Linked DNA regions of Ovis aries. The protein of the gene in region 1 interacts with the protein of each later gene in a pairwise test. Links are inferred from orthologs where the notes say so. Each region holds a gene or a part of one and is shown on either strand. Other genes may lie near its edges.

The links.
Region 2: the proteins of NR1H2 (region 1) and NPY interact in a two-hybrid assay, tested with the Homo sapiens proteins (3 studies listed by BioGRID and IntAct). The link is inferred for Ovis aries from reciprocal best matches to the Homo sapiens genes NR1H2 and NPY.
Region 3: the proteins of NR1H2 (region 1) and NCOA6 interact in a two-hybrid assay, tested with the Homo sapiens proteins (2 studies listed by BioGRID). The link is inferred for Ovis aries from reciprocal best matches to the Homo sapiens genes NR1H2 and NCOA6.
Region 4: the proteins of NR1H2 (region 1) and MED1 interact in a two-hybrid assay, tested with the Homo sapiens proteins (2 studies listed by BioGRID and IntAct, with this or other methods). The link is inferred for Ovis aries from reciprocal best matches to the Homo sapiens genes NR1H2 and MED1.

What each region holds. Positions count from the first base shown.
Region 1 is NC_056067.1:56,280,646-56,285,647, reverse strand, and holds the end of NR1H2 (oxysterols receptor LXR-beta), read right to left. Parts: intron 4,480-5,002; coding exon 4,380-4,479; intron 2,110-4,379; coding exon 1,901-2,109; intron 1,659-1,900; coding exon 1,512-1,658; 3' UTR 1,091-1,511; downstream 1-1,090. UniProt on the Homo sapiens protein: Nuclear receptor that exhibits a ligand-dependent transcriptional activation activity. Binds preferentially to double-stranded oligonucleotide direct repeats having the consensus half-site sequence 5'-AGGTCA-3' and 4-nt spacing (DR-4).
Region 2 is NC_056057.1:73,210,480-73,215,552, reverse strand, and holds the start of NPY (pro-neuropeptide Y precursor), read left to right. Parts: upstream 1-2,005; 5' UTR 2,006-2,078; intron 2,079-2,099; exon of another isoform or gene 2,100-2,658; intron 2,659-2,854; exon of another isoform or gene 2,855-2,904; intron 2,905-3,020; coding exon 3,021-3,208; intron 3,209-5,073. UniProt on the Homo sapiens protein: NPY is implicated in the control of feeding and in secretion of gonadotrophin-release hormone.
Region 3 is NC_056066.1:64,075,775-64,080,182, forward strand, and holds part of NCOA6 (nuclear receptor coactivator 6), read right to left. Parts: intron 3,125-4,408; coding exon 2,008-3,124; intron 1-2,007. UniProt on the Homo sapiens protein: Nuclear receptor coactivator that directly binds nuclear receptors and stimulates the transcriptional activities in a hormone-dependent fashion. Coactivates expression in an agonist- and AF2-dependent manner.
Region 4 is NC_056064.1:39,606,782-39,611,720, reverse strand, and holds the start of MED1 (mediator of RNA polymerase II transcription subunit 1), read left to right. Parts: upstream 1-1,867; 5' UTR 1,868-2,076; coding exon 2,077-2,101; intron 2,102-4,151; coding exon 4,152-4,258; intron 4,259-4,939. UniProt on the Homo sapiens protein: Component of the Mediator complex, a coactivator involved in the regulated transcription of nearly all RNA polymerase II-dependent genes.

The DNA.
Region 1 (5,002 bases):
TGCCTGGAGAATCCCAGGGACGGAGGAGCCTGGTGGGCTGCTGTCTATGGGGTCGCCCAGAGTCGTATACGACTGAAGTGACTTAGCAGCAGCAGCAGCAATGCCCTTCAAGTCCAACCATGTTGCTGCAGATAGCAAAAATTTCACTTTCATGACTGAATAGTATCCCATTCTGTATGTACGTATGACGCCTTCTTCATCTGTAGATGAACACTTAGGTCACTTCCATTATCTTGGCAATTGTAAATAATATTGCTACGAATATTGAGGTGTGTGTATCCTTTCAAATTTAGTGTTTGGGGTTTTTTCAGTATATATCCAGGAGTGGGATTGCTGAGTCCTGTGACAGAGTTCTAGTTTAGCTTTTTTTTTGACCCCAACGAATGGCATGTGTAATCTTAGTTCCGCAGCCAGGCACTGAACCTAGGCCCCCAGGGTCCTAACCACTGGACTGCCAAGGAATTCCTCTAGTTTTCGTGTTTTGAGAAACCGCCATACTGTTTTCCACGGTGGCTGCAGAGACTTTATCGTGTTCACAGATGTTTCCAGTGCCTAAGAATGTATTTGGCACATAGTAAATGCTCCATGGGGCTTCCCTGGTGGCTCAGATGGTAAAGAATCCGCCTGCAATGCGGGAGACCTGGGTTCGATCCCTGGGTTAGGAAGATCCCCTGGAGGAGGGCATGGCAACCCACTCCAGTATTGCTGCCTGGAGAATCCCCACGGACAGAGGAGCCTGGTGGGCTACAGTCCATGAGGTCAGAGTCGGACACGAGTTAGCGACTAACCACAGCACAGCACAAATGCTCCATACGCATCTGTCAAATGAAAAACACCTGTGTCCTGAGACTGGCCGACAAAGCAGCCTCAGCCAATACTTGCTGATTGAACGAAAGCTCCATGCCCTCCTCCACTTAAATCCTCCCTGACCTTCAGGAGCAGGCTCCAACCACCAGATGACCCTGAGGCCCCCAAAGCGCCTAGTCTTATCACCCTGAACCCACCCTAGTCCAACACCAGGTCTGGGGGTTTGGTGTCCATGAAGACCCTGGCAGCCCATTCCCACCTCAGACTCATCCTGAATCAGAGCAAGTTTCTAGTCATACTTTATTTTCCTGTTTTTTTTTTTTTTTTTTTAGTTTTTATTAAATAAAAGGAGCAGAGCAGGGAGCCTGTCTGTGGTCTCTCAGGCTGTGGGAGAGCCACAGGCCCTCCTGCCTCTGTTCAAGGTGCACTGCATGGTAGGCTTGAGGTGTAAGCTGGGCGGGGAGGGCAGCTGGGAGTGCTGGGAGAGGTCAGAGCTCAGGACCCGTGACCCCCTCCAGCCCTCCCAGGAAGACTCAGTGGGCAGGCAGGGAGGCTCCTGGACGCCGACTGGGGCTCATCCTGAGGGCTGGCGGGGGGCCAAGGCTTTAGCTCCGAGCCGCAGGGCGGGAGCCCAGACCCAGCCCGGTCCCTTCCCACCCCAGTGTGCAGTCATTGGGGATGTGCAGGGCAGTGGGGTGGGCCCTTCATTCGTGGACGTCCCAGATCTCAGACAGCAAAGGTGGCAGCTTCTTGTCCTGAAGCCGCAGGGCGAAGACCTGCTCCGAGTGCACGGAGCTGAGCGTGCGCAGGCTCACAAGCTTCATCAGCATGCGGGGGAAGCGCAGCTGGTCCTGCAAGGAGACAGGAGTGGGTGGGTGCCAGGCGGCCCACCCGGAGGACCCCCACCCTGGAGAGGCAGTGTGGGGGCCCCTGGGCAAGGACTTGCCTGACTCCTTAATGATGGGACAGGGGCCTTGAGGACAGGCTGCTGAGAGGACACTGATCAGAACTCAGCTGCTGGGGTGAGCCAGGGACGTAGGAAGCTGACCCTACACAGGTCTAGGTTTCCTTGGGAGGGTCCGGGCTCCGGTACCTGTGGCCTCTTGATGCGTGTGTAAGACAACAGCGCGTCCACGTAGGGCTGCTGCAGGGCCTCGACCCGGCTGGGCTCCTGCACGTTGGGCCGGTCGGCTGAGAAGATGTTGATGGCGATGAGCAGGGCGTACTCCGCGTCATCCAGGCCCAGACGCCTCATGGCCCGTGAGAACTCGAAGATGGGGTTGATGAATTCCACCTGCAGGCCTGTGGAGACAGGAGACTGGCTCTGATAAACACTCTGACCTAAAACTGGCCCCCATGCCTGGCCACTGGCATTGCCCTGCCACTGGCATTGCCCACTGTCAGCAGAGCGAGGGAACCAGCAGCAAGTAGAGCGTGCTGGTCACCCTGTAACCCCACTGCCCATCAAGGGCTTGGCACGTCGTGGGTATGCCATATGTCTTGCCTGAATGAAGCAATGAGTAATAAGTGTGAACATTTATTCAGAAGTTTCTACCACCCCGTCACCCTCTTCGCTTCCTTCCTGGTACCTCTCCTCTGGAAAAGGAAAGGTGTTTAATCCCAGGTCACCTTACATCACCCCCTGAGGTGGCATCCCCTGCTCTCACAGTGAAGCGGAACTCATTTCCAGGTGTGACTCATTCATTCATCAAACTTGATTGAGCACCCACTGCGCATCAGGTCCCAGGCAGAGACATTCTAAGACAAAGCCCCCTGCTCTCGTGGCACTTGCATCTGGGGCTTGAAGAGACAGATAATAGACAGGTCTGCAAGTACGCCATCCACCCTGTGAGATGGTTCTAGTTCTATGGATTGAGGTAACGCAAGGGAAGGTAACGGAGAGAATCACGTCCATATTTTAGACATGAGGGTCACCACAAGGTGAGTGTCGGAAGGCCTCCCTAGCTGCAGGGTGTCTGACTAAAGAGGGGAGGGAGGGAGTTACCAGGCTGTGCGAGTGTTCCAGGGAGGGTGCTACCAGTCTGTTTTGCCTGGGACTAGGCTTCCTAGGCCCTGGACTTTGAGTATTAAAGCTCAGGAGACTTGCTTCTTGCAGAGTGGCTAAGAATCCACATGCCAGTGCAGGGGACACAGGTTTCATCCCTGGCCAGGAAGATGCCACATGCTGCAGGGCAACTAAACCCACGCACTGCAACTGAGCCCAACTGCCTAGGGCCCGCACTGGCAACGAGAAGCCCGCGCACAGCAACTAGAGAAAGCTCGCACAAAGCAACGAAGACCCAGCGCAGCCAAAAACAAAAAAATCTTTAAAAAGTAAGAAAAGCTTGGAAGGCCCCAAGCAAACTAGGACGAGATGGTCAACCTAGTTCTGGAAAGAGGGACCAGCAAACAGAAGCTGTGAGGCGACAGCACATTGGTGGGTTCAAATAACAGGGAGGCCAGCGCGGCTGGGGGAGGGGGAGGGGAGGGCGGGAGGAACGAGGCCACACCCTGCAGGGCCTGTGGGCCAGGTGAGGACTCTGGCTTTTCTCCCACCCAGTGTGATGGGAGCCACGGATGGTGCTGAGCACAGGAGGGACGTGAGCTAACGTGGTTGTTAACTGGATCCTTCTGATGACTGTGAACAAACACACCAGGCTGGGGTGGAGGCAGAAGCCCAGCAAGGGGCCCTGCAATGTTCCCAGAAGGACCAACTGAGGCTTGGACTCTGGCAGTGGCGGAGGATGGGGCGGTAGGAGGAACGAACCTCCGCTCCAGCCCCATCTCACTGCGCTGCAGCTGCCGGAACCTCCCTGTCGTTCCTTAAAACCACCCGCTCTTCCCCACCCAAGGACCTCTGCACATGCTGAGGCCCCTGCCAGAAACACTCTCCCAACCCCTAGTGCTCCCCTGCCAAGCTTATACTCAAAGGGTTACTGGGACTGCCCTGGGTATTGGGAGAGCCAGGAAATAAGAGGAAGGAAAGATGGGGTGAGGAGAAGATGTCCAGGAAGACAGAGAAGTGCCCCACGGAGAAATGACAGGAGAAAGCAGGACTCTCTGAGAACGCCCAGAAGCAGAGAGAGAGGCCCTGCACTTGCGTTCCCTGGTAACTAACACTGCTCCCCACCTCCCTTTCCCTCTGGTCCCACTGAGCCATACTCTCTCCAGAAGCCCATCGCCTCGGTTCCCATCCCTAGGGAAGTGCTCTTGGAGGGCAGGGACCGGGTTTGCCCTGTACAGTTGGGGAGGTTATGTATTTCCCAATGGACTGAGATCCAGCCTCCCTCACATGAGACCAGGGCTGGGGAGCAAAGAGTGTCTTTCCTTAATTCCTACGAAGATGTCCTATATGACAGCACATACCCCTCTGTCGCATCCTGCACCATGTCCCCCCTGTGCAGGGTCAGGGCTCAATAATCTCACTGTGGTCTTAGCTCTCACTGTGAGGTGGGAGGGCTCAGCCCTCACCCTAGTCTGGAGGTGAAGAGATGGAAGCTCAGACAAGGATGTGAGGGCCCGGGTCTCCTGGCCAGCAGGGACCCCACTGCCCAGCCTGCGCTTGGCCGTACCCGCGCGGTGGAAGTCATCCTTGCTGTAGGTGAAGTCCTTTAGGAAAGTGATGCACTCAGTCTCGTGGTTGTAGCGTCTGGCCGTCTCCAGCAGCATGATCTGAGGATGGCGGAGGGGATGGGTGGGCAGGGGCTAGAGGAGCCCTGTGGCCCCTCGGCCACTGTCCCTCTGCTGGCCTGAATGGGGGGGCCCGATCTTGCTGGGATCATCCCCTGCCCGTCTCCACCCCACCCCATCATCTCTCAGCCACAGGGCCTGCAGCCAGCACGCTGGACACTCCAAGCTCTCGCCCTTCCCCAGGTTCGGCACCCCCAGCCTTCTCCACTCAGGACACTCCCCCCAAGTGCTTACGAGGCACAGGGCAGAGCTTTCTCTCAGTCTGCTCCATTCACCACCACGCCCTCAGCACTGGGAATAGGACCTGGCATACACTAGACACTCAGCACTTACTCATTACCACAGTTTTGGTTCAAACATCAACTCCCTGAACAAGCCTTGTCAGCATGCTCCCTAAAGTGTGGCCCTCCAGCCCAACCCTCAATTATTCTCCATCTCAGGCCCTGTTTCCCTTCTCTCCTAACCTCACAAGAGGCTCTGATGACTTATTTAGCATTTGAGGTTC
Region 2 (5,073 bases), on another chromosome or scaffold:
GTGGATCTGAAAACAATGATTCAGAGTGAAAGAAGGCAGACAAAAGATACATACCATGGAATTGCATTGATACAGCTCCAGTAAATGCAAACAAATGTATTATGACAGGAAGCAGATCAATGGAGAAGGGGAACAGGGACAAGCAGGAGGTAGGAATTACAAAGGGACATGAGGAAACTTGATTGTAGTGATGACTTCACTGGAATATGAGTAAGAATATACCCAATGGAATATGCTAAATATTTGTAGCTTAGTGTTAGCCACTCAGTGATGTTTGACTTTTTGCAACTACATAAACTGTAGCCCACCAGGCTCTTCTATCCATGAAATTGTCCAGGCAAGAATATTGGAGTGGGTAGCCAATCCCTTCTCCAGAGGATCTTCCTAACCCAGGGATCAAACCCAGGTCTCGCCCATTGCAGGCAGATTCTTTACCATCTGAGCCACCAAGGAAGCCTCATTTGTATCTCAGTTGTATCTCAACAAACTGTTAAGAATAAGCATAAATAAATGATTTTGAAACAAAGGAAAGAAATGGTCCAGCAACTAGAAGTGCCTCTCTTTTTATCAAGAATGGAATCAGAGTTAGAAAATGTTTTGCTCTAACTTTAGCAAAGGTTCTTTCACATAAGCATTCCTGAGCAGTCCCCAGAGCCTGGCATTTGTGTTCCTGGCATATGTTTGTGTAATGTGGGAGAGGAAGTCACCTAAGTGAAAAGAATGTTGGTCTTCAAAACCTCACACACACACACACACGTGATTGCTTGCTGCACGATAACTGATATTTAATTCAATGCTGTTAAAACAGCACAAAACCAACATGTCAGTTTAACAAAATCACTTGTCATTTTAGCACCAAAATAACTTGTAACTTAGTGCTTCAATTCCTTAATATGCCATTTATTTAGGAAGATTCAGACTTCTAGAAGTATTCATTCAGGGAACTTTAAGACCTAATCCACTACATGAAATCCTGATCCTGTAAAAATAGTTTATGAATCTTTCATATTCATTCTGTAGGTTTAATGTGATGGGCAAATTAATGATTTTTTTTAACCAGTTTTAATTAGAACCCACGTTCTCAATCAGCGTTAATCAAACCTATTTGGCATTATTCAACGGCCAGCAGATAAAAGAAAATTGCTGTTCATTTGACTACCTGGTCGATTTGGACCAAAAATTTTCGTTCGCGCTTTAAGGAGTCTCTCCGAACTTAAAACTCCGCTCTTTTTCCCCAAACCCAGAAAGTGTCCGACCTCTGAGGAGTTCTCAGTCTCTACACACTGTCGGATACCAACTGGACTTCCAGTGTTCGGGCGAGTTCTTGGAGAGGGCCGGTCTCCACCAAAACCAAGCTGGGAAAAGGGACGAAGCCACAGAAGGTTTTGCTCAGCCCTGGAGGAGTGGGGCGTTGGGGTCCTCTAGCTCGGGACTTTGGGCAGGCTTCTGGGAGCTGCTTTAGGCGCAGGAAAATCCCAGCACCAAGTTGTCTCCCCCGAAAGCACTCAGGAGTCGTGTCCGCTCCCTAGCCACACGGATCCCAGAAAGCCTTCACCACGTAGCGGATACGGGTACCCCAACCCTGGTGCCCAGCTGGTGGTAGTCCAGGTGACGGGCGACAGAGATGATCTGGGCTGCTCCTATCTCTGGCAGGACTAGACCGGGCGTGGAGGACGGCAAGGTTTGGCCGCCGCAGGAGGGCAGGAACTTGAGCTTTGGCATGGTCCTGTGCTCTCGGAGCGCGTTGCTGCGCTAGCATCCTGCTAGCTTCCCTTTCCTGGGGCCTGGCTGGCGCTGGCAAATTGGGGTGTGGGTGGCTCCCAGAGCCGAGGCTCGCGAGACAGTAGCTCCGGACCCCCTCCCTCATCCCCCGCCAACGGGGGCGGGAAGCTGCCGGGTGGGAGTAGCGGAGCGTGATTGCCCGAGGCCCCTCCTGCCGTGGCGAGGGAGAGCCATAAAAACCCTGTTGCAACCTGCTCCGGACACCCCCTTCTGCCGGCTCTCACCCCTAGAAGAGCGCGCCAGACTACTGAGCCCTAGCCACCCAGCCACGCCCGCCAGCCACCCAGCCCGCCACCGTGAGTGCCAAGACCCGCTTACTTGACGCGAGCTGAGGGAGAGGGGGCGCCTGTGAATTTGCCGGGGGCTCTGGGAGGAGGGTCGCGCCCCGATCCCTAACCCCTGTGCCCCGGGCTTTCAGGCGCCTCAACGCGCGCTAGCCCCTCTTGGCGGCTAAATTCCACCTGCCCCTTCCTGTACCCTCTGATGGAACAGCTGCCCTCTCCCCGACCCTCCTGGCTACGCCGGCCCTCTGGGTTATCTTATGGTGGATAAAGAGGGAAAACAGGAGCCCGATCCCAGGGCAGCTGGCCGTTTCCTCGAGGGTCGCCGCCTGGAGGGAGGTTTCCCAGGCAGCGCTCCGCGAATAAGGAATCCCCGGAGCTTGGAAGCGCCGCTCCCTGCAGCCTCTTGGGATCTTTCGGATCCGATCTGAGACCCACCGGCGAGGGAGCTGTTCTCTCCACTCTCGCCAGTTGCCACCCGAGTACCGTTTGCCATCACTGTCGAGCTCCTGCAGCGGGGCAGACCAAAACTTAAAAAGGAGAAACTTCTTCCCTTCCCTCTAACAGGGCGTTTGGGGAAGAGGGTAGGAAAGGGGTAAGTTCTCAGTGCAGGGGGAGGAACTTTTAATCTGTTTTTTAAAGTGTTTTAAATTGGCGCCGGAGCCTCCCCAACTCAGCGTCTCTCACCGCCGGATTCTTGACTCTGCTACTGGACTGAAGTTGCTCAGAGTTTTCGGGCGGAGCAGAGGGGCCGGGCCAGAGCAGATCTTGACCTGAATCCACAGGATGGTCTCACCGCTCTCTGCTCCCTCTGCGTGACTGGCTCGAGCATAGATTGAAGGTTGGGGTGTGGGGGTCGTAGGAGTGGGATGGGCGCTGGGGCCAGAGGAGGAAGGTGCGGAGCGTGCGTCCTCTGAATTCCCTAAGCCCCCTTCACTGCACCTTCGGTGTCCGCAGATGCTGGGTAGCAAGCGACTGGGGTTGTCCGGACTGACCCTCGCCCTGTCCCTGCTCGTGTGCCTGGGCGCCCTGGCCGAGGCGTACCCCTCCAAGCCTGACAACCCTGGCGACGACGCTCCGGCGGAGGACTTGGCCAGATACTACTCAGCGCTGCGACACTACATCAATCTCATCACCAGGCAGAGGTAGGTGGGCTGCGCGGGACACCCGACTCCGGAGCGCCCCACTTGCACACCTGGAGATCATGGGCATCTTGAAGGACAAGGACTTTTTCTTTTTATTTTTTGTATCCCAGGGCCAGACAGCATCAGGCACATGCTCAGCTCTCAGTAAATGTTTGCACAGGGAGCAACTGCCTCGGCCACTCCTGTCTCAAAATCCTGATCCCCAGACTCAGGTCCCCCAGTCTGGGTGGCTGACTGGCCATTTCCTCTCACCCATCCCCTTGTCTTTTTTGTTCTTAGAGCAGTTGGAGGACTGTTTGGAAACCTGGGTAGGAAAGTATCCAGTGAAAGGGGTCAGGAAGGCGTTGGGAGGTGGCTATAGCTGAGAGGGCTGCAGGAAAACAACAGCACAAGCTAAGGAGGAAACAGCTGGGTCACCAAAGACTGCCAGATTTTTCAACCTGCCCAAACTGAAGTGAAAAGACAAATTGAACTATTTTCCCCCTACAGTGTTTTATTTCAGTCTGAACCCCTTACCTGAAAATCCTGCTCCTGATAAGTAGAGATTTAGCATGAAAACATTGGTCTAAAATGCTGAGACTTTCCCCATTTCATAGCAGGTGAGTTCAGAAAAGAAAATGCCCACTTGGTGCTTTTTAAAGGAGAAACTTACAATGATCTGTTCACTTTAGGATGAATCCAGGGATTACATGTAATTTGAGAAATTGTCATCTTTATTCTGAACCCCTAGAAAGCTAAAATGAAAGGCCACATTTCATTCTCAACATCAAATCTTAAGCAAAAAATCAAATCCAAACTATTTTAGAAGTAACATAGGATTTAAAATTATTTCCAAAATTAATTCATCTTAGTTTTGAATCATTCAACTTTTTAAATTACTGAGATCAAATGTCCTTAATAAGCTGAAAACAATGAGCTTTTTACAAAGTTTAATGTTATTTAATATATTTAAGTTATGTTTTAAAAGTATTTTTTTGTTTGCTGTTTTACTATATTTCAAGGAATAGTTGGAAAGAATTCAAAGTGGGGAAGAATTTGTATTAAAGCAAACTCTAACTTTGATGAAACTTTCTGTTTCATCAAAAAGCTTTTAAAGAACCAATTTATATGAAATTAGAAATATATGAAAGTGCTAGAATTAAATAGCATTGGTTTATGATCCCTGAAGTCTGATACTTTTCATTAGTGAAGAGCAAGAATGTCTTAATAGACCTTCTTAATAGACCTTCTTAATAGACCTTAATAGATCTTAATAGACCTTCAGAAAGTTAATTGCTTCATATTCTTGCTTATGCATCATAAAGACCAGAGAAAAAAACTGTACAAATTTTTTTTTTTCCTAGGAAAGACTTTGTTAGTTATTTAGTCCGTTAATTATAGCATATAGTGGAACTTAATTTTACAAAGATGATTGATATAAACCTTTACCATTGTGTAAAGCTTTGGCATTTCAGAATGTTTTCCTAGGCATTACTTTGTTCAGTCTTTACCTCAAAGCTTTGAAGTGAGTACAGTTATCACCAGTTTACAGATCATGAAATTAAGGACATTTCATGAAAACTTTTTTTAGGGGTGATTAAATTGGAGCCCTCCTCTTGATCTCTGGATAATGTCACTACCACTTAGAGTGATCTTCAACACCTTTGATGAGGAGAAAATAAGGGAAAGGGCTAAGATTCAGGTTAGCAAGTGTTCCTGAAGCAATTTCCTATCTTCTCTTCATATAAGCTCCTTCTTAGAAACACTCAGAGGCTCGTAATCTGCACCCATCACCTCCATTCTATACTCTCATCATCTTCCCACCACACACATCGACTCATATGCACATCTGTATTTTTGAAAATTACGTATATACGCATACATTT
Region 3 (4,408 bases), on another chromosome or scaffold:
TTAACAGACATCCCCATCAGCTCTGGGATGCTTTCATTTTCACCTAAGTGTACCTTACAATTTTATTAGAGAAGGAAAAAAATGAAGAAACACCCACATTCCCAAAGACCCAGGGCTCACAGCCCTCATTTCGTTTTTGTCCTGGTATTAGTCACCCACTTTTAGATAGTATTTTATCTCGTTGTACTCTGTAGTTTCATAAACCTTACCTTAAATCCATTTTAAAAGCTCTAGCACATGGTAATTTAGAACCTGAAGCAGGTCCTAAGCACAACTAGATTCCTGTATTGATTTGCTCCTTAAATGACTTCTCTCTTGCTTCAATTACAGGTAAGGATTCCTGTAGTATTCTTTACTTTCAAAGAATTATACTGCTAAAAAATATCTCAGGCCCAGCCACCTCATGTTACTGGATAACAAAACAAAGGCCTACAGAGCTGTAAGAAAACAGCCTGAAGATTCCATGGTAAGCTCGTGGTAGAGCTGGGAGCATGCGCTCTTCTTTTTAACTTACTGTCTCCATTCCTAGGAGCCCTGATGTGGTATAAGGCCCTTTCCACATTCTGTAGCTATAACAAGTAAGCAAATCCCTAAGGGCTGGTACAGATACCAAAAATCTATACTAATGGCAACTGAAGAACCTTGCAGTGTTAATCCTAGATTACTGAGAGGAATAAATATTGCCAAAGAAATATTATTCCCATACAGATTGATAGTAGTAAAGAATTTAACTTAGAAAGAGCTACTGGAAAAATCAGATAACCAAAGAGTTTACTAATTTTGAATTCACGAAAAATACAGGTTGCTAATATAAATTATTTTTTGATTTATAAGATTCAAGAAGAAAGTGAATATGATATAGTTTTATAGTACCACCAAAGGCATACTGTAAGAAGACTGAGAGAAAGGTAGTGGGTTGGCCAAAAAGTTCATCCAGTTTTTTTCCAGGTGTTATGGAAAAACACAAACAAACTTTTTGGCCAATCCAATAGATGGTTTTATTTTAAACATTTATGTTTAATTAACTAAAGCTCCCCTATTCTCTTCTGTAATTCTAGTAATTTACTTGAATTAACCCGCTTTTATACTTCTTAGTCATTATTTTCTGGTAATAAATGTCTCTGGATTTCACTTTTGTGATTAAAGGCAGAAAATCCAGTTTAGTCAATATTCCTTTTTTATCAAAGCCAAAAATATGACTTAACACTTAGCTTTAGGAAACGAAATATAAATTAATTGCCCTTCCCACTGTGATCTTGCAAAAGACTCATCTTTACCAAAAGGGTAACTGATTGAAAAGGTCTAGTCATCTTAGTATGAGGTTTTAAGCTGCTAAGGATGATAAAGAGCCTTTAAAAGAAAGGCACTTGCACAAAAAAAAAACATTTCTATTTGAGAGACAGAAGGGAGTCTCCGTAAGTAGTTTTCATTCCTAAAACACATATAGCCTCTCTGGTTCCCCAGCAGTCATTATAAGCCTGACATGCTTTGTAGAGTTGTAGTGTGGTAGCAATGGCTAATTCTCAGGCTCTGAATGGCACAATCCCCTCTGAGACTGTACAGACTTAGGAGACATATATCATTTGACTGCAATATATGAACCTTGTTTGGCCCCTTATTTGAACAAATTGTAAAAAAAAAAAATTATTTTGAGATAATCAGGGAAATCTGGACGCTGTCTGAATATGTGAGAATATGAAGGAAGCATTAGTTTTTTCCAGGTGTGCTAATCGTATTGTATGGTCACAAAAAACAGAAAACAAAAACCAAAAACCTGTCCTTATTTTTTCAAGGTACACAGTGAAATACTTAAAGTGAACTTGCTTTAAAATAATCAAGAGGTAATGGGAAGAACATGAATGAATGCAAGATAGATGATGAGCTGAAAATCTGAAGCATGGGGAATTTCATTATACTGTTCTTATACATGCTCAAAAATTTCCATCAAAAAAGGTGTTCACATAGAAATAAATGAGTAAGATTTCAGACAAGACTATCACAACCTACTTTAGATCCTGCTGACTATTCTTCTTCTTCCGAGGGGGCTTCTTCTTCTTCGGTTTATTTGCGTTGCTATTGTTTTGCTTATTGTTTACCCCGAAATGGCCCGCAGAGATATCACTCTGCAACAAGTTGACCAACAATGGGCTCGTCAGCGTGACATCCTTATTGACCGGGAAGCCTGGATTCTGACCACAGGACATCTGATTTCCATTGGGTGCTCCATTGAAAGGTGCATTGAAGGGCATCCCATGGCCTGAGAAGTGGTTTCCCGAGGCACTGTTCCCCTGCATGGCCTGCACGTGGGGGGGGACCATGTTGCTTTGCTGCATGCTAACATCTGGCATCATCTGAGACAAGCTGACATCATTATTTGCTGTCGTAGCAGGATCACCATGCTGCTGGGCCATGTGGGGGCTGGGCCCTGGTGGCCGCAAGACCTGCCCCTGCATCCCCATAACCTGAGACGGACTGCTGTTCACGGGCCCTTGCTGTGGCAGCATCTGTCCTGACATAGGTCCTGTAAACTGCACCATGTTTCCTTGCAAGTTTGGCGTTGGTCCCCTCATTATCTGTGCTGGTCCCGGCATGACATTAGACTGGTTCTGAGTGTTAAACTGTTGCTTATTCCCCTGCATCTGATTGGTCATGATCTGCTCTATCATTGGATTCTGTTGGAGCAAAACTTGCCCCTGAGGCCCCATCATCTGGTTATGTGGTGCCATCATTTGGGGGCCCTGCTGGGGAAGCATCTGCTTGGGTGGGGTCATCCTTTGGGGTGAGGGCCCAAGATTTTGGCTCTGAGGATTCACCATCATCTGACCCTGTGGCATAAGCTGGGCCCTTGAAAGGATCATGGGGTTCTGAGGGTTCAAGGTTCCTTGTTGCTGGACCATCTGGCCCTGGGAGGGCACGATCTGCTGGTGCATGCTCATCAGTTGAGATGGTGGGCCCTGCTGGGGCTGGCCTTGCATGTTGCCCAGGTTCACTTGAGGAACCCCAGAACTACCAGCCTGTTGGTTGTTCATGTTGCCATGAATTCCCATGAGGCTGGGCTGCATCATATTTGGTGGCCCGTGGGACACCTGCATCTGGTTTTGAGGAGGACCAGCTCCTTGACCACCTGAAAAAAAAAAAAGGCACAGTTTCAGAAAGAAATACTATTATCTTCTTGGTATTAAGATTCTCAAATTACCTTAATTAGAAAAACACCCCTCACCCATATCCAGTGATTAGCATAAACAGATGTGTTATGCTTAACATATTTCTGTGAGTTTTCTATAGTATAAGGCTGTGACTGTGGCATACATTCTCAGTGACCATACAATAGAGAAAAAGAAACCATTTCTTTATTCCTATTTGGTAACTTGATAACATTTTGAAGATCAATATAGTTTTCTTTCTCTTAGACTAAACAAAGAGAAAGGTAGCATCTCATTATTTAAAAATAACTTGTAACTACCTTAAAATGAAGAAAATTAATGAAAAGTGTTATGGGATAATGAAATAAGCTCTACTTTAGATGAGACAGGAAACAAAAAATGTGCTGCAGCCTCTTAAGAAAACCTCAGCAAAGTTGAGAAGATGTTTAACAATGCTCCTTGGGAAACTATATTCAGACTCTCCAAGGTTATGGATGTGTTATCTGGATACTGCACTTTAAAGAAAAGAACAGCTAATACTTCCTAAAGATAGGTCTCCTCCACCCCAATGTGGTAAAAATTATTTAATCTTGATCTGGAAGCTGAGCCTCTGGTGGAAGTCAACTGACAGACAATTAAGAAGCTGCAGACAGAGGACAGACAATAAAGGATGATAAAGCTTCAGTGACCCTCTCCTGCAGCAATCCCTAGGAGACCACATGGGACATGTTTTAGTCTTAATTGTTTCCAGTTCAGACAAAGAGCACTTCCTGGTTTGCCACAGTGTATACTTACTGTTAGGTCTTTGGGGTTTTCCTATAGCTGCTTATATTCTCTCTTCCTTTCTGCAGAATAAACTTCTAGCTTATTTTATCTCCTCCCCACCCTTTTCATTTTGAAATGAGGACTAAAAAGTGATAGCCACAATGAAATCATCAAGCCAGTCCATGTTCCAGCCAGGAGGTGAGAGACAAACTGTCCTTTGTTCATACAATCTAGATTTTTCCGGAATCCTAAGATCTTCCAGACCAGCCTTAAACTGAATTCCATGACCACTGTATATACTATATACACTAAATATTCCAGTATATTCATTCAATTGACAATCATCTATTGAGTAGCTAATATGTGCAAGGTACTTCTGGTACTGAGGTAACATCAATAAGCAAGACAAACCAAATCCCTTACTCCATGGAGTCTAGTTGGCAAGAGTAAAATAACAAACAGACTAAGTATTTTCACAGGAAGAAGTAAAAGCTTAATAA
Region 4 (4,939 bases), on another chromosome or scaffold:
CAGGAACTAGGCTAGGCAATATCACTAGACTAGACAGTAGTGAAAGAAATAGACCCAGTGCAGCCGCCCTCCTAGATTTGATAGTTTAGCAGGGAAGACAGACATTGAATACATCATCATGTACTTAATTAAGTACTGAAATAGTATAACAGAGGACCTTATTAAGTCAGGGTTTAGAGAAAGTTTGCATCTCTAGTCCAGATCAAGAGACATTTACTTTGAGAACTATATAAGAGGGCCTCAGTGAGATGAGGGGTAATGGAGAAGGGGAAAGCCTTCCTGCAGCTAAAAAGGCCTGTTCAAGGACCTTGGGAGAGAAAGGAGTGAAGGAATTGTCTGCAGGTGGAAGGTCAGTGTGGTTGGGATTTGGCAAGGGGAGAAGAGCTAGATTGAGAGAGGAATGTTAGGACCAGTAAAAGATTTGCCTACTAAGCCCAGGTACAATGCTAGGTAGTGTGGATTTCGAAATAAGAAGCAATTACTGCCTCAAAAAACTCTCTGTGTAGTGACTGAAAGGAATGAGGGTAAGAGGAATAGACAAGAAGTAAATTTTAATTCTACTTTCAAGGAGCATGGTTATACATATCTTTGTCGAAATAAACATGTCACAAATAAAGATTTGTTCTTATCTGTCTGTTCATCTGAACTGTAGTTACCAGCAGGAATTGTTTTGGAGGATGTTTGCATATCATTTTTGAAATATGGGGGAAAAGTCTGAGACTAAAGAGCCACTGGAAATCCATTGCTAAATATCCTTACAGCAAATTAGGTAAAATTTCAGCAGTTATTCTCAAGGATGTATTTCAAAAAAAAATTATAATAATAATAAAGAAAAAAAAAAAAGAGTAACCTTAACTATTTTAAGAACTTCCACCCAGAGCTAGTAGAATTGTATTTTAGTCTGGTTCTTGTTCCAATGGGCAGGAACTTCTAAATTCTCAGCATTAATCCAGATTTCTCTTCGTGAAAATTTACTGATACAAGAGACAGGACCACACATTCTTTGTGATTTGTAGTGTAGAGTGTGAGCTAACCTGCTTGCTTTTACTGACTACAAAAAAAATACAATCCATTGTGAACACCTTTGGGATCCTAAATATAATCGATGACTACTGAATATTCATTGGAAGGGCTGATGCTGAAGCTGAAGCTCCAATATTTTGGCCACCTGACTGACGCGAAGACTCCACTCATTGAAAAAGACCCTGATGCTAGGAAGGGTTGAGGGCAGGAGGAGAAGGGGAGGATAGAGGATGAGATGGTTGGATAGCATCACCGACTGGATGGACATGAGTTTGAGCAAGTTCTGGGAGTTGGTGATGGACAGGCAGTTCATGGGGTCTTTAAGAGTCGGACACGACTGAGCGACTCACCTGAACTCATGACTGTTGCAAACAAGTTTTTCTTAACTCAAAATCTTCCACGTCCTCAGAAATATTGAAAATGCTCAAGAAAAATATTTCTGAAATTAAAAAGGAAATTCGGTAATGGAAATTAAGTGTACTGGGCTACTTTGGGACGTCGTGTTACAAAGACCCAACGTCTAGTATCTCAATAAAGGGAAAGTTTTAATAAAATATTCCTAACAGCAATATTCTTCGAAAAGCTAGCATTTCAGTAAAGACAGCTGGGGCTTTTACTTTGCAAACTGCTTGAAAGCCAAATCGAAAGTGCCAACTTCCACAGAGGTGTTGAACACTAGCACTACACAAGCTCCACGCCTAGCTCTGAGAAGTCGGAGACAAACCAGAGAGCAGGCAGGGTGGGGATAATCTCGCGAGAAGCAACGTATAAATCATTTTTCGCGATATTTGGTGCCCAGCCCCTTTCCCCCTTCTCTCTCTCGCAGGATCACGGTTAATCTCGCGATCTTTTGGAAGTTCCGTTGGGGAAGATGGCGGCGGCCGCGAGCACCCTTCTCTTCTTGCCGCCGGGGACTTCAGACTGAGTCTTCCCTGGAAGAGTGGGACTGCAGGTTCCCTGCGTCCCGGGAGCCCGAACCAACTTGGTTCCTCCATTACTGGTGGGGAAGGGCATATCCTCTTGTGTAGGACTTAGGCCCTCCCCGCCGTCAGGATGAAGGCTCAGGGGGAGACCGAGGGTGAGTGACTGAGGGGGAGATCAGGGGGCGGGACACAGCTGGGGGAGCCAATGCCTCCGCGGGGGCCACTCTCCCGAGGGCTCAGGATCTAGGAGGCGGGATATGTCTGAGTTTTAGATTCTGACTGCCTTCCTTGGTGATGGAGAGCTTCGACTTTGGGGAGATGGGGGCTCCCAACTTGAGTGTGAAGGTTTCCTATTTGGCAAGGGGCAACATTTGGGCCTCAGGGCATTTTTTAGCCTAAAGAGATGGGAGACCGGGCAAGTGAACGTAAAACTTTCTTCTTCAAAAGAGAAATCTGAATGATGACATAAAACAATAATAGGACGCTATATATCAAAGTACTGTAAGATGTTTTGTCGTGAATGAAATGATTAGGTCCTTATGGTATTAAAAGCCAGTAGTTTTAAAAAATGTCACAGCGTTCATATCTTGTAGTATTGTATATTTTTAAAATGCTTTTAATTTCAGTCTTTAAATATCTGAACTAAAAACTGTTGAAAAACACTTTTCTGTGTAACTTTATATTCTCTAAAGTTCCACATTTCAGCTTAGATGCTCCGTTAGCATTTTGGACATAGTTCTGTTGATACAGGATTATTTTTTTGTCTTCTCCAATGTGCTCTGAGCTTTGTAGAGCAGGATCTTGCCTTACTCATCATTGTATAGTCCTGGGCCCATAATGTTGTGTTGTTGTGTTAGTCACTCAGTCGTTTCCGACTCTGTGACCCCACGGACTGCAGCCCACCAGGCTCCTTCACCTATGGAATTCTCCAGGCAAGAACACTGAAGTGAGTTGCCGTTTCCTTCTCCGGGCACATAATAGTTGCTCAAAAAAACGTTTCACTGAAGCATTTTTGTAAAGATTTATCGTCGGCCGCCTTAAGGGAGAGAAGGGAGGTGTGTTTGAAGGAGAAAGAAAAAAGGGTGCAGACGAATGACTAGTGTAAGTGGAATCTTAGTGAGGCAGGAATTTTGTCTAGTTTGCTCACTGCTGTATCTCTGAGATGTAAAATAGTGCCTGAGTGAATGTCTGAAATATGGGAATTGCCAAACATTTCTCCAGAATTATAAACTGAATGAAACAGCCCCAAGAACAGTTTTCCAGAAGATGAAGGCCTTGGAGGGAGGAGTTGAATCTCGATCTGAAGATGTCACTACTTCATCTTTGATTGCTGACATTCTATTCATCTTTCAAGACATCTTTTCTGTAACATCCCTAAACTAATTACACACTTTTCCTCCTTTGAATTTTGATAGTAATGTGTTTCTATTTTTAAGAGCATATCTCATTTTGCTTTGTATGATGGTTATTTTCACATTAACTTATCCACACCCCCTCACAGATGTCATCTCAGGCATATTGTATTTTTGCACTGCTGGTCTCCAGCACAGTCCTTGCTCATGTTAAGCAGTTAAAAGAATTACAGGAGTGTTGGAGGTTATAGGAGGTTCCTTCAAACACTATCTGGGATCCATTCTTTTCTACCTTTCTCTTACCTTTGCCTGAAACTCATCCTTTAGTCACTTGACATTTCCTTTGTTCATATAGTTTGAATTCGAACAGGAAATAGCTGAATGGCAAATGAAGCTTGTTTTCTTGATAATACTTACAAATTGATCTCTTAAAATTATGTGAAAAAATTAAGAAAGTCTTTATTTTCACATTGAAAACCAACTAACTATAGTAAGGCCATGTTCAAATGTATGCTCTGCATATGTCATGCAAAGGATTTCATGCCTATCATGAAATTATTTTGTCATTAAATAGTAGTCTTGATCCTCAGGACTGGAGGTGGTTCTTTTTTTGCTTCTCATTAAGTCTGAAGAGAAAGCAGTCCCCTTCTATAGTGTTGTTAGATTAGGCCCATAATTTCTGTCTACTTGTTATTAGAAATGAATTCTTTGTGTATTTTGAAGTAAATGATATTGGATAAGATTTTAACTTGAGTTCGTACCAGGATGAAGTATGGGAGTTTTGTTTGCAAGAAAAACTGTGGAAGGTCTTGAAAGAAGAGTTGCTAATAATTTTTTCTGATTTATATCTTAGAGTCGGAAAAGCTGAGTAAGATGAGTTCTCTCTTGGAACGGCTCCATGCAAAATTTAACCAAAATAGACCTTGGAGTGAAACCATTAAGCTTGTGCGTCAAGTCATGGTGAGGACTATGGTGAACTGGATAAAGTGTTGTGCTTAGAAAATTATTTGATAAGCTAAGTTACCTATGTAGACTTTTTCTAGCTAGTCATTATGGTGTGTCTTCAGTTTTATTTCTCATAACATGATGGCTTTCAACTTTTAAGTCTACCTAAGAAGAAGATATGTTAATAGAATTGTGTTAATCATGAGTTATAGTAAGCTGGGATATTTTAGGCAAAAGTTGTAAGAAACACTTACAGAGCGTAATTAGTTTCCTAGTGACCTAGTGTTTAGGATTCCCAGCTTTCATTACTGTAACCTTGGATTCAATCCCTGGTTGAGGAACTAAGATCCCACAAGTCCCACAGTGCTGCCAAAAAAAAAAAAAAAAAAGATACATGTGATAGCCTGATATAGAGAAACATTTACTTTTTACTTCCTGTCAAGCTCCTTGATTCTAATGTGTTAATACTTTCATTGTATCTATACTGGTAGAAGAGTTTGCAATCATTTTTATTAACTTCACTTGTTTACTCTGTGACTTCCTCTACAGTACTTTCTCCTTCCTGAGGCATTCACCAGTATGGGGAGCCCTTAGTTAAGTGGTATACAGGGAGTGGGGTGAGTGTATAGCACAGCACTAGTAAAAGAATTGAATTTGCTGTCAGAAAAAGCTTTATTTTAATCTTGACTCCACTAC